Ovis aries: one gene and its partners. The protein of the gene in region 2 purifies or fractionates together with the protein of the main gene of each other region. This does not show direct contact. Links are inferred from orthologs where the notes say so. Each region holds a gene or a part of one and is shown on either strand. Other genes may lie near its edges. The genes, in order: PPP1R10, TOX4 and PPP1CB.

What was found.
Region 1: the proteins of TOX4 (region 2) and PPP1R10 purify together in Homo sapiens (affinity purification with mass spectrometry; 3 studies listed by BioGRID and IntAct, counting the BioPlex papers as one, with this or other methods). This does not show direct contact. The link is inferred for Ovis aries from reciprocal best matches to the Homo sapiens genes TOX4 and PPP1R10.
Region 3: the proteins of TOX4 (region 2) and PPP1CB purify together in Homo sapiens (affinity purification with mass spectrometry; 5 studies listed by BioGRID and IntAct, with this or other methods). This does not show direct contact. The link is inferred for Ovis aries from reciprocal best matches to the Homo sapiens genes TOX4 and PPP1CB.

The regions. Positions count from the first base shown.
Region 1 is NC_056073.1:27,487,882-27,492,300, reverse strand, and holds the start of PPP1R10 (serine/threonine-protein phosphatase 1 regulatory subunit 10), read right to left. Parts: upstream 2,899-4,419; 5' UTR 2,848-2,898; intron 2,623-2,847; 5' UTR 2,091-2,622; intron 1-2,090. Other genes in the region: MRPS18B (small ribosomal subunit protein mS40), read left to right, coding at 3,502-3,579.
Region 2 is NC_056060.1:24,038,066-24,042,328, forward strand, and holds the start of TOX4 (TOX high mobility group box family member 4), read right to left. Parts: upstream 2,904-4,263; 5' UTR 2,875-2,903; coding exon 2,869-2,874; intron 2,671-2,868; coding exon 2,602-2,670; intron 1-2,601. Other genes in the region: RAB2B (ras-related protein Rab-2B), read left to right, coding at 3,283-3,328, 3,549-3,620. UniProt on the Homo sapiens protein: Transcription factor that modulates cell fate reprogramming from the somatic state to the pluripotent and neuronal fate. In liver, controls the expression of hormone-regulated gluconeogenic genes such as G6PC1 and PCK1.
Region 3 is NC_056056.1:35,718,900-35,721,650, reverse strand, and holds part of PPP1CB (serine/threonine-protein phosphatase PP1-beta catalytic subunit), read right to left. Parts: intron 1,037-2,751; coding exon 932-1,036; 3' UTR 1-931. UniProt on the Homo sapiens protein: Protein phosphatase that associates with over 200 regulatory proteins to form highly specific holoenzymes which dephosphorylate hundreds of biological targets.

The DNA of each region.
Region 1 (4,419 bases), on a different chromosome or scaffold from region 2:
GATTCACTTCTCATCTTAGTACCAGTGTACAGGAAGGAGCTAAGCAACTGGAGAACTGGGACAGCACTGAACACAAAGAGCTCACCCCCAGACCCAAGGCGGGAATAAGGGCCATTTAGAAATCAGTCCTGAAGGACCCACTCTCCCCCCGATTTCCATTATACAAATCGACCACACGCAGGAGGCCCAAGGACGGACTCAGTCCTGAGCACAAACGGCACATTTCAGGGTCATCAGGCCCCAGCTGTTTACTCCTGTTAGTTTCACCATCTTTGTGTCTTCCCCCAGGATCCCCCAACACACACTCACACCCCCGCTAAAGCTTCCAGTCCTAAAATACAGCTGTTTGGTTTTCCACCCCAGGCAACTAAAGCAGGGAAAAACTTCCAAGCAGTAGTGATGAGAGAGGGTGAAAATAAAAGCAACAGGCTCGGGATCCTTATATACAAAAACTAGAGCTGCCCAAGGAGACAGCTTCAAGATCTAATTGCGACAAGCTTTTTTTCCTTTTAAGATAATGGTTACAGAAGGTTAAGGAACATAAGGAAAATGGCTTTTCCCGTCTAGCAGCAGCGTGCATGAGGAATCCAGAAGGCATCTGCTCGGGGGCGGGGTTTCGAGAGGGTGGAGAAAGGAGGAAGAAAGCTGATTACATCACCTTTCAGGGCGGCTCCTCCCCCTTGACCAAGTTTCTAGGGCGGCCCTAAGCTCTAGATGGCAAACGGGGAAGGAAAAACAAAGAAGCTGGGACGCCATTTTGTAATGGAGAAGACTCAAACTTAAAGCTATCCAGGCTCCGCCGGTAGCTCTTTACATTTAAAAAAACCACTTTTTTAGTAAAAAACAAAAAAGAAAAAAGCAGTCCATCCTGAATAGTCTGACCTATTTTGAATCAATAAGAGCTTTGTGAGAATACAGGCAATTAAAGTATTTAAAAGAACAATTTTCTGCGGGGAGGAACTGAATTTGCAATTGAGGTTCAACTTGCTACTAACGACCACCCACCGCCCCCCCCCCCCAGCATCTTCCCTATAAAGGGAAACGGGGGGGGGGGAGGACTTGGACCCCTCTCAACAAATAGGGTTGAGGTGGGAGGACAGGAGAAAAATGGGTCAAGACACAACCTGCGACGCCGCTTGGAAGACAAAGGACAAAGAAAGTCGCCATATTGAAGCAGGGAAGAAAAAAAAAATTCCTTTTAACGACACAAATCTTTTAGATAGCATTCAATTGCACTAAATGGCTTGTAAAATTAATACTCCTGAATTCCACATTCCCCCAACCTTTCCACCCTCTAACTGTATTCCCCCGACCAGAAAGTATCAAGTTAAAATGTTACTTTTTCTTTTAAATAACCTATGCAATCTGCAACAATTACAAAACATTCTTTACCTCCCCAGCTATCAATCTAGTATGTATTGGCACTAAGATTATATTTTGCCCTGAATTAAGTGTCTTGCAATCTTTATTCCTAGATTGCCACCTAAATTAACCACACAAATATACCCCAAGCATATTACATTAAAATTGAGAGGAGTTAACAATCATTTTAAAAGATACCCAACTATTACTTCTCTCCGCCCATCTCCTTACCCTGCAATCTTTATGTACAGATTGCTTATTAATCTGGCAAATTGAAAAGCGCCCTGCTTGTCTCACACACAAAGAAGTGGGACTTCTGGGCCACAAGATCCACCATCTTTTGTATGTGAGCTCATTAACCCTTTTGAAGACTGCTAACGAGAGGAAGGTAACCATTCCTCCTTATAAAAAGCAAACACTTATAGCTTTGGCAGTCTGGAAATTGGCTGGATTACCAAGGGTTAACCATCAAAATCCTAACTCGCAGGCCCTCCCTCCACCCTCTCCTTGCCTGCGGCAGAGCAGGGAAGAGGTAGGTGGTTAAGGGAGAGAGAACACTGTTTTAGACCCAACGGCCCTTTTTAATGGAGATTAAGTGACCGGATCGGTCCTTCTCCAGTTCTCTATTTGTTCTATGGTCTCATTTCTTCCTCTCATTATTTTTGGTTTCACAACGGGAAACGTTGATTTCTTGTTGCAAGGCTGGTTTTTGAAAATTCGACACTTACTATCCAATTTTTTTGCGACGTCAGCACCTCGGGCTCAGGGGGGGAGGGGATTAAAATTTTGGAGAAAAAAATAAAACAACCAACCAGGACCCAAAACTCAATTATTTGGGGGGCCTCATTGGATCAAAAAATCTCTTTAGAAAAAATAAAGGCCAACTCAGTATTCATTTCCCCCCCACCCAACTCCATTTAGGGAGGGGGGTCGTAGAAAAAAAGTTCTGAGTGGATTAAAAAAAAGTAAACGCTGGATGAGTGGACTTGGGTGAGTTTGGGAAGGGTGGGTGGTTGATTATTTTTGAAGTTATGTGGTGACGGTCCTTCGGCCACAGATTTCAAGTCCCAGGCAGCGTGGGCTGGTGGGGTGGGCAAGATAGGTGGGAAGGGGCAGAAGACACAAGTGGTTGGGCTGGTGGCTGCTCTTTTCCCTTTCCCCCCTCTCTCTGGATCCTTTCAAGGGCTTAGATGTTGCTGTGCTGCGGCTTGTTTCTTTTCTCCTGGTGGCCGGCCTGTCTTTCTCCGAGAAAATTCAAACCTGGGATAAAAGGAACACAAGGGAGAAAGATGTAATCAGTACGGGCTGCTATTAAAACACCCAAAAGTACCATTTTTGTTGTCCCCAAACACTTCCATGTCCCACCCCGAATACAGCCGCTTAATACGAATCATGGCTCTCAACTGAGCCCGCGTTTGACCCGTTCCCCAGGCCAACTCTCCGAGCAAAATTTTACCCACCAACCGACAAAATGGCAACACTTACCTCTAAACGAACCCCAGAATGGCGGCTGCCCGCTCGGGCGGAGTCTTTTATACGAGGACACCGCCCAACGCGCCCAAACGTGCTAGTGAAACGCCCCCTTCGCGAGACAATTTGCGCGAGGCGTGAATTCATTGGTCAACCAGGGAAACCACTCACCAGCTGATTGGATATCCGGCCTTAACCTTCGCTCAGCCCCTTCCCCCGGGCACCTTCTTCCGCCTCCTTCCTTGGTTGGGGGTGGGGGCCCTAACGCGTGCGCGTGACCAAGCAGCCTAGTACCTCCCTTTCCTCTGCTTCCACCACTTCCGCCCTCGAGAACATTTCTCAACAAGGGTTGGTAGAATCGGCCCGGCGCATGCGCAATGAAAGGATCAGGGTCAAAAGCGACTTCAAAATTGCTTAAAACACAGACTCTAAGAATGAGAGTGAAAAGTCATAGTGACTGGTTCAGCAAAAACGCAATTTTAAGGCCGAATTCGATTGTGACGCAGTTGAAATTGCCCTCTCCCTACGCCCGCCCCTCACGCTTCCGTCCTGACGCAGACGCGCGTCCGCCTTCCGCACTGCGGGGTCGTCCTTGGCCCCACCCTACTCTGGTTCCTGGAACATGCGCAGTCTCGTTTGCGGACGTGCCTGCTTTGCGGGTACGTCAAGATGGCTGCCTCCATATTGAACGTGTTGCTGAGGCGCCTTCCTAACATTTCGCCCTTCAGAGGTGCCTACGGAGTTCAGGTAACTCCTTGGGGCACATTTTGTACAACCTCAGATTTGGTTGTACTTTCTCTAGGTCGTCGCTCCACTGCCAGGGATCCTGGAGCGGAGAGCTTCCCAAGTGCTTGTACATTGGCTGTCAAGGAAACGCTCTGCTTCCCCCATCCTCCCCCTTCCCCTCTCATTCCTCAGCACAGCGCGTTTTCTAATCTTGAGACAAGGGTAAAGAGCCAGGGTTGGATGTCATTCTCTTCCCAGCTTTCCATCTCGGCCGGATATTTAGGCGATGGAATGTGGACCCCTTGGCCAAACACAAACCAACTGTTAACTGTATGGTGGTGTCTAAATCTTTGATGCCCAAGGGTGTCATTGGGTTTTGAGGGACACTAACTACTACCAGCCCGGCTATCGCTCAATAAAGCCAGAATACATTCTCACGACCAGGGGACCAGTTTCTCGGCTCTTTATCTCACTAAATCAGTTTCTTCCTAAAGCATACATGGGAGCATAACTACTTTGGATGGAGGTTTCCCCTCAGTCACACGTACTCACCACCCTGGAGATTCTTGATGGGGCAGCGTGATATTGGAGGGCTTGCCCATCTGCCACTCCCTAAAGTGAGACTGAAGAGTGATGAGAGGGGCTACCACAGAGTTAATTATAGACTTGGTAGCTTGGGACATAGCGTTAGGACTCACGTTTGTTCTGCCATATGGAATGTTGACCATCAACTTTTTATAAGACCGGGCAACTCAGTGATTCAGGATTCAGTTGAGTTGGGAGACTCACCTGTCCTTTACATCCTTTTCGTAGCACACATCTTGACTCCAAGAAGATAGACATTCTCCCTTTTTTCTCCAT
Region 2 (4,263 bases):
GGTTCTAATGATTACTTAGAAAATTAGGAAAATTAAGGACAGGTATCTTTATGACTGGGGCTTCCCAGATGGCGCTAGTGTAAAGAACCTGCCTGTCAATGTAGGAGATGCAAGAGAGGTCAGTTTGATCCCTGGATCAGGAAGATCTCCTAGAGAAGGGAATGGCAACTCATTCTAGTATTCTTGCCTGGAGAATCCCATGGACAGAGGAGACAAAAAATCGGACAGGACTGAAGCGACTTAACATGCAAGCATGCATCCTTATGACTAATTTCCCCAGAGTGCTCAAAGTACAATATCATTATTTAAGTGCCAACCTAAACAAGATAAACAGAAAGATTAAACTCCCTTCAGACTACAGAGCTCTCCTAGCTCAAACAATGCTATTATAAATGCTAAGCCTGCCTCTCTGGACACTTCATCTTTAAAAATTATTATTTCTTATTTTATTGAGGTATAAGTAATGTAAAGCACACAAATTTTAAGTATATAGCTCAATGAATTTTTACATACCTTAACACCCAATTATCTACTGCCCAGATAAAGATACAGAACATTTCCATCACTCTAAAAAATCTTCTCATGCTCCTCTCTAGTCAGTACTCCCTCCCTTCCACAGTGGGTACCACTATTCTGATTTCTGTCAGCATAGTTTAGTGCTGTCTATTCTTCATCTTAATTTAAAAATAAACCCATAGAGTGTCTACTCTTTTTTATTTGGCTTCTTTTATCCAATAGTATATTTTTGAGATCACTCAGGTTGCATTAGTAGTTCATTATTTTTTATTGCTGTGTAGTATTCCCTTTAACAAACCTATCAGTTTATAGACATTTGTTTCCACTGTTTAGCTATATAAATCAAGTTTCTGTGGACATACATGTTTTTGTTTAGTATATGCATTCATTTCTCTTATGTATACATCAAGGAGTGGAATTACCAGGTCACAGGATAACTATATTTCATGTGTCGTAGATACTACTAGTTTTCCAAAGAGGCTGAATCGATTTACAGTCTCACCAGCAATGATTAAGAGTTATCTACATGCTTATTAACTCCTGGAATGATCAGTTTTTTAAATTTTCACCATTATGATGGGTATAAAATGGTACCTCATTGTTAATTGGCATTTCCCTGATAAGTAATGATGATACTTTTTCATATGCCTAGTGACAATTTGGATACCCTCTCTTCTGATATGCAAGTTTAAATCTTTTGTCCATTTAAAAAGTGGATTATTTCACTCTGCAGAAGTACCTGAATATACTCTGAATCTAAGCCAGATATATGTAATAAAATATCTTCTCCCAGTCTGTGAAGTGCCTATTTAATTTCTTAATGATGTCTACTGATGAAAAGTTCTTAAATTTTGGAAATTCCCTGTTGCTCTAGTGGTCAGGACTTGGCACTCTCAACTGTTTGGGCCTGGGCTCAGTCCCTGGTTGGGGAACTACAACCTAGAGAGCTGCACAGCATGGCCAAAAAAAAAAAAACAAAAAAAAACCACACAAACCCAAAACACTTTATATTTCAAAGAAGTCGAATTTTTTCAACTTTTTTATGATAAGTTATTTTTGTGGACATTTCTTTTCCTTGCAAGAAACTCTATTAAGGTTTGTTACAGGATAAGTTCATGAATGCATGCCAAGTCGCTTCAGTCGTGTCCAACTCTTTGCCACCCTATGGATAAGTTCATTCAACAGCAATTGAGAATTCTTGATACAAAAAAAGTGATCAAATGGTTTATGCCAAGTTTGAAAACAATTAAAAATTCTCAAAAGACAGAAAGTTCAAAATTTCCGTTTCTCAAAGACTGAATTTATTTTTGTTCCACCCTTTTCTTTTGCCTTGTCTAAACAAATCATACATATTTATGACAACATTTCAATTAAACCTTTTCCAAGAACACTAAAGGACATCACCATGATCATTACTTCCACTTCACAACATCGTAATAAACTATTATTACAATCCTTTGACAGCTAGGGAAACTGACACATAAGGGTGAAGGAACCTACCCAAACTCTGAGGCACTGGCAAACAGAAACGCGTGCTCTACTCAACTCCATGTTTTCTCGCAAATATTCCCTTTCATTCTCTCACTAGCACAACAAGCTAACACTCTGTAAGTAAACATAACCATTAACTTTTCAAAAAATTGCTAGGTAGGAAGTTTCAACGAAACACATACCCCTTCAATAGAGTACGGTTTAAGAATGAACACATTCCACAGTTGACGTGTTAGGTAAACTCCTGCCCCTTCCCAAATTTCTTTGGCTGAAACATTCTCTCCCTCCTGCGATCTCCCATTATTGTACTTGTTTCTCCTCCACGAAAGGAGACAATTTCATTCTATACTCCAATACAGAATCGCTCTAAAATAGGTTCGCTTTTTCCAGAGTCCTGCTTTTCTGATGACAGCAGCTTTCCTGGCCTTCCGCGTAGTCCTCATAGGCTCTGAAGGCAGCTGCCACTTTTCTCCAGATATCGATCTCAGCCTCCGGTTCCCAACCCGGGCCCTGGCGTCCGCGCTCTCCTCCCCATCATCCTACCCCACCGCTGCCTCCCACCCTCTCCGCGCAGCGTCGGCAACTCATGCTCACCTCGGCCCCTGACAGGAAGGGGTGCGAGGGCCCTGTGATCGTCAGGTAATTGTCATTTCCTCCGGGAAACTGGAAACCAAAAGAAAGCCGCGGGGATAAGTTAGGGGAAGCAGAGAGTTAGATCGGAGCGACGTTTTCTGACCCAGACATTATGACAACACCTCCCAAACCCCGCTCTCTCTCCCCTCCCATCTGCCGCTTCCCGCTTCTGCTTCAACCCCGTCAGCCGCGCTCTCTCGCCAGGCTTCTCAACGCTCAGGAGCCTACCTCCATCTTCACACAACGGCTATCACGGTCTCAGTGAACTCATCACTCCCACCGCCCCCACACAGGACACGGAACTGCCGTCACTTCCCCAACGTCGTGCGTCGCTCTCCGCTGATTGGAAGGAGCGCCTTGGGGCTGCTGCGAGTCAGGCCCGGGAAGGCCGAGCGGACTGACAGGCTAGCTATCGCCTCCTGGAGCTTGGTGGGATAATGGCATGTAGGAGTGTTGGAGGCGTCCTCGGAGGTGGTATCTGGGTATTACCGTCGCTCCGACCGAAACGGGATTTCGAGGGAGAGCAATAGAGACGTTAACTGGGCTAGAGGGGCCGGAGGTCGATAGATTGAGCGGCTAGAGAGGCCGGAGGTAAGTGGCTGTAGAAGTCGGGCGGACCCGGAATCCAGAGGAAAAGGGACCATGACTTATGCTTATCTCTTCAAGTACATCATCATCGGAGACACAGGTAACCCGCGGGCGACAATCCTCAAGCTGGGGCGGGGATCCGAAACACCCAAGTCGGGGCTTGGGGGCGGGGCTCATTTAGTGGGCTGGGCGATTAAGTGAAGCGGGGGGCGGGGCGGGCCGCCGGGGGCGGGGCTCGGGGCTCCCCTTCCCCAGTCCTGGACGCCCCGACACTGGTCTGTTCTCGCTGCCTAACTCCTAACGCACGCGTCTTCTTTCAGGTGTGGGGAAGTCATGTCTCCTCCTGCAGTTTACAGACAAGCGATTCCAACCTGTCCACGACCTCACAATAGGTAAGCGCATATACCTCTCGTAGAATAGATTATGAAATCTGACTAAAATAGAAAGTTAGCAGCTTTAGTGTTCGAAGTAGAAAAGTTACGTCTTCCTATTTTGGGGTTAGTCCAAAGTTATGTTAAGTGAAGAATGACTAAATGCTGAGAAATGGGCAGTAGTGTAATGGGGAGTAGGTAATTGAAGGGTGACTAGATTTAGAGATGACCATGAGGTATGGATTAGTTGCCTCAGGATTTTTTTTTTTTTTTTAACAAATGTAGTTTGTATGTTTATGTAAAATCCTATGAAAACGTACTGTTAATTCAAAAACTCGCCTTACTCTGCGGTAAAGTAGTGTGAACCTCATTACTTTTTCAAAGTAATCACTACAGTATAGATTTTGTGTGTGTGTTGGAGAGGAGGAAGCAAATGGAAGAGCCATCCCAGACCTAGAATAAAAGGTACATGAAACTGGTAAGTTTTGTTTTAAAGAAAAGATATGATAATCATGAGTTTCAAGAACTCTCTGGTAAGCGTGGGAAATGTGAACATCTTCCACAAATTTGTGATATGGGACGACCTGCTGAGTTTTAACAACCCATTCCCCATAATCTCCATAACCCCAACCCAAATAAAGATTATATACATAAAACTAGCCTT
Region 3 (2,751 bases), on a different chromosome or scaffold from region 2:
ACAAAAAACAACAAGAACAAAGAAAAACCCAAAAAAACAAAACCAATGCAGGTGAGGGTGTTACCAGAAAGTTAAGCATGCCAAAAAGGTGTTTCGTGCGAATTAAAACCTAAAGCCAAGGTACCACATAATCACATTACCAACTAGTTGGGTATACTAAATGAGCCTTATCTTAAATGAAATGCTACTGCACAATAGAGCATCAATAAGTTAAAATTAGAGTGCACAAACTCAAATCAGTGGCCATTTCTGTATGAAGCAAAATATTCACTATCAGCTGTAACAGTTGCCCAAACTGATTAAATCACTCGATTGGACAGTTTGCATATTTTAAAAAATATCTCTAAATTCCTTTTTACTGTAATGAGGCATAAGTTTTCTTAGTAAGATCAAACAGGTACATAAGTAAATAAGCAATGGAAAATTAATAGTTGATGAATGTCTTCAAAAATCTTCCCACATTGCACTTTTTTAAATGTTTGGGGAAAAAATTTAAAGAATTTGCCATTATTTCAGCAAAAACAAACAAACAGAAACAAAACAAGCCCAAAATAATTAAACAACCAAGCAACACTAAAACCACATTACACAGATGGATCATCATGCTTTCGTCTGGTTTAACTATCACATCTAGTTTAACTGGGATGCTTTTCAGCTTTAAAAACTGTGGTACGTGAAGATGTAACTTTAATGGGTAATTCTGAATTTGGATTTAACTTTGTTGAATATTATAACAGAGTATACTTATTACAATACAGTGTAGCACATCTTTCTATTAGAAAAAAATTTAAGATCCTTTACCCGTCTCCTTAAGTTAAAGGTGTGACATCATAAAGGGTGTCAAATGGCTGGATGGTTTTACAGTGCACACTTAAAGATTATGAAGTATGTCCTTAACAAATCGGATGGTTTCTTTACAGAGTTCCTTTCTTCACCTTTTCTTCGGTGGATTAGCTGTTCGAGGTGGAGTGACAGGACGTCCTGAATTCAGTCCACCATATTGGTACTTAGCTTTCTTTTCAGACGGTTTCAATATCTTAAAGTAAATAATTTAATAACAATGTTACCTTTTTCAAGTACAATAAGTTTAAGGAAATTATTGTTACATAGTAGGCTTCTCAATAAATGACATCAATTGTAAAATTGTAGGAAAAAATAGCAAAGTTCTACAGTCATTTCTCACATTTAAAAAGTATCAAAAAATAAATAAAAAGTACAAATGTCTGAATATCACTATTATTGGTCATTCCATTGACAATTTAGTGACAAAAGCTCAAGTACACAAAACCCATCAACTATTCAATTCTTAGATCTAAGTATAAAAATTTTCAAACTAGTGTATCTCTGTGATGAGAAAAAAGCACTAAGAGTCAAAAGATCCAGGTTCTCATCATAATTCTCCTATTTATTTAGAGGGTAATTAGTCACAAATTCTTCAATCTTCATTTACTATGTGTATACAGATCTTTCACTTAGCTATATATATTATGTATCATAAAGGTCACCATTTAAACTGTAGAAAGACAACACTTTTTAACATATTTACAACTATGAAACCACTGGTATAATCTAACATTAGAACATGTTTGTCACTCCAGGAAGAAACCTTGTTCCCAAAAGCACTCACTCACTCTATTTCCATTATTGACTGCCCTAACCCCCTTCAACTCTAAGCAATCACTACTTTACTTTCCTCTATTGAACTGTCTTTTCTGGCTATTTTAAATAAATGAAACCAGACAATTTGTGCTATTGTGACTGGCTTCTTTCACTGAGATAATGATTTTGATGTAGCATGTATGAGTACTTTATTACTTTTAATTGCCAAACAATATGCCACATTTTGGATACTCCACATTTTGTTTATTCATTCTTTAGCTGATGAACATTTGGGTTGTTTCTACCTTTGGGTATTATAAATAATGTTCCTATTAATATGTATATATACATGTATTTGAGTACTATTTTCAGTTCTTTCAGGTATATACCTAGGAGTGGAAATGCTGGGTCATATAGAAACTTTATATTTAACTTTTTCAGGAACTGACAAACTATTTTCCAAAGTGGCTGCACCATTTTCCATTCCCACTATCAATATATAAGGTTCCAACTTCTCCACATCCCCAGCAACACTTTGGTTATATCAAAAAAAAAAAAAAAACAAAAAAAAACCAAAAACCAAAAAAAACACACCAACAAAAATACAAACTATTTGTTGAAGGATATGGCCTGGTTACTACATTTAAATCTGAACGAGAAATCAAACATTTAGCATTCAATTGTATTAGCTGATAGTAATGGAAACCTCTGTTACATTTTTTAAGAGAAATACAGGGTGTCAAGGACAAAAAAATAAAGTTATTTTAGTCCATGAACAAGAATGATTAAGTAGCATGCTAAAGCTGGTCTCTTTCTTAAATGTAAATGTTTCTATATTCACAAACAGATACTTTAAGATTATTTGGAAGGTTTTTCTAGGCAAATATTCTACATCATTTTCATCAGAGTTCATAAACTCTACTCAACGCCTGTCCCATCCATTCATCTTGCAAAAGAAAACAAAATCTAAATTCACATTCTTTTAGTAGCAAAGCCACTACCTAAGGATTCATACACCAATTTCCAATTTAAACACATGCCACCAAGAATGACTGACATGACTTAGATTTCCAAAAACTCTAATTATGAGATATATACCTGAAAGACTAGAGTATTTGTGAATGGACACAGAAATCTATAGGGAGTCCAAGA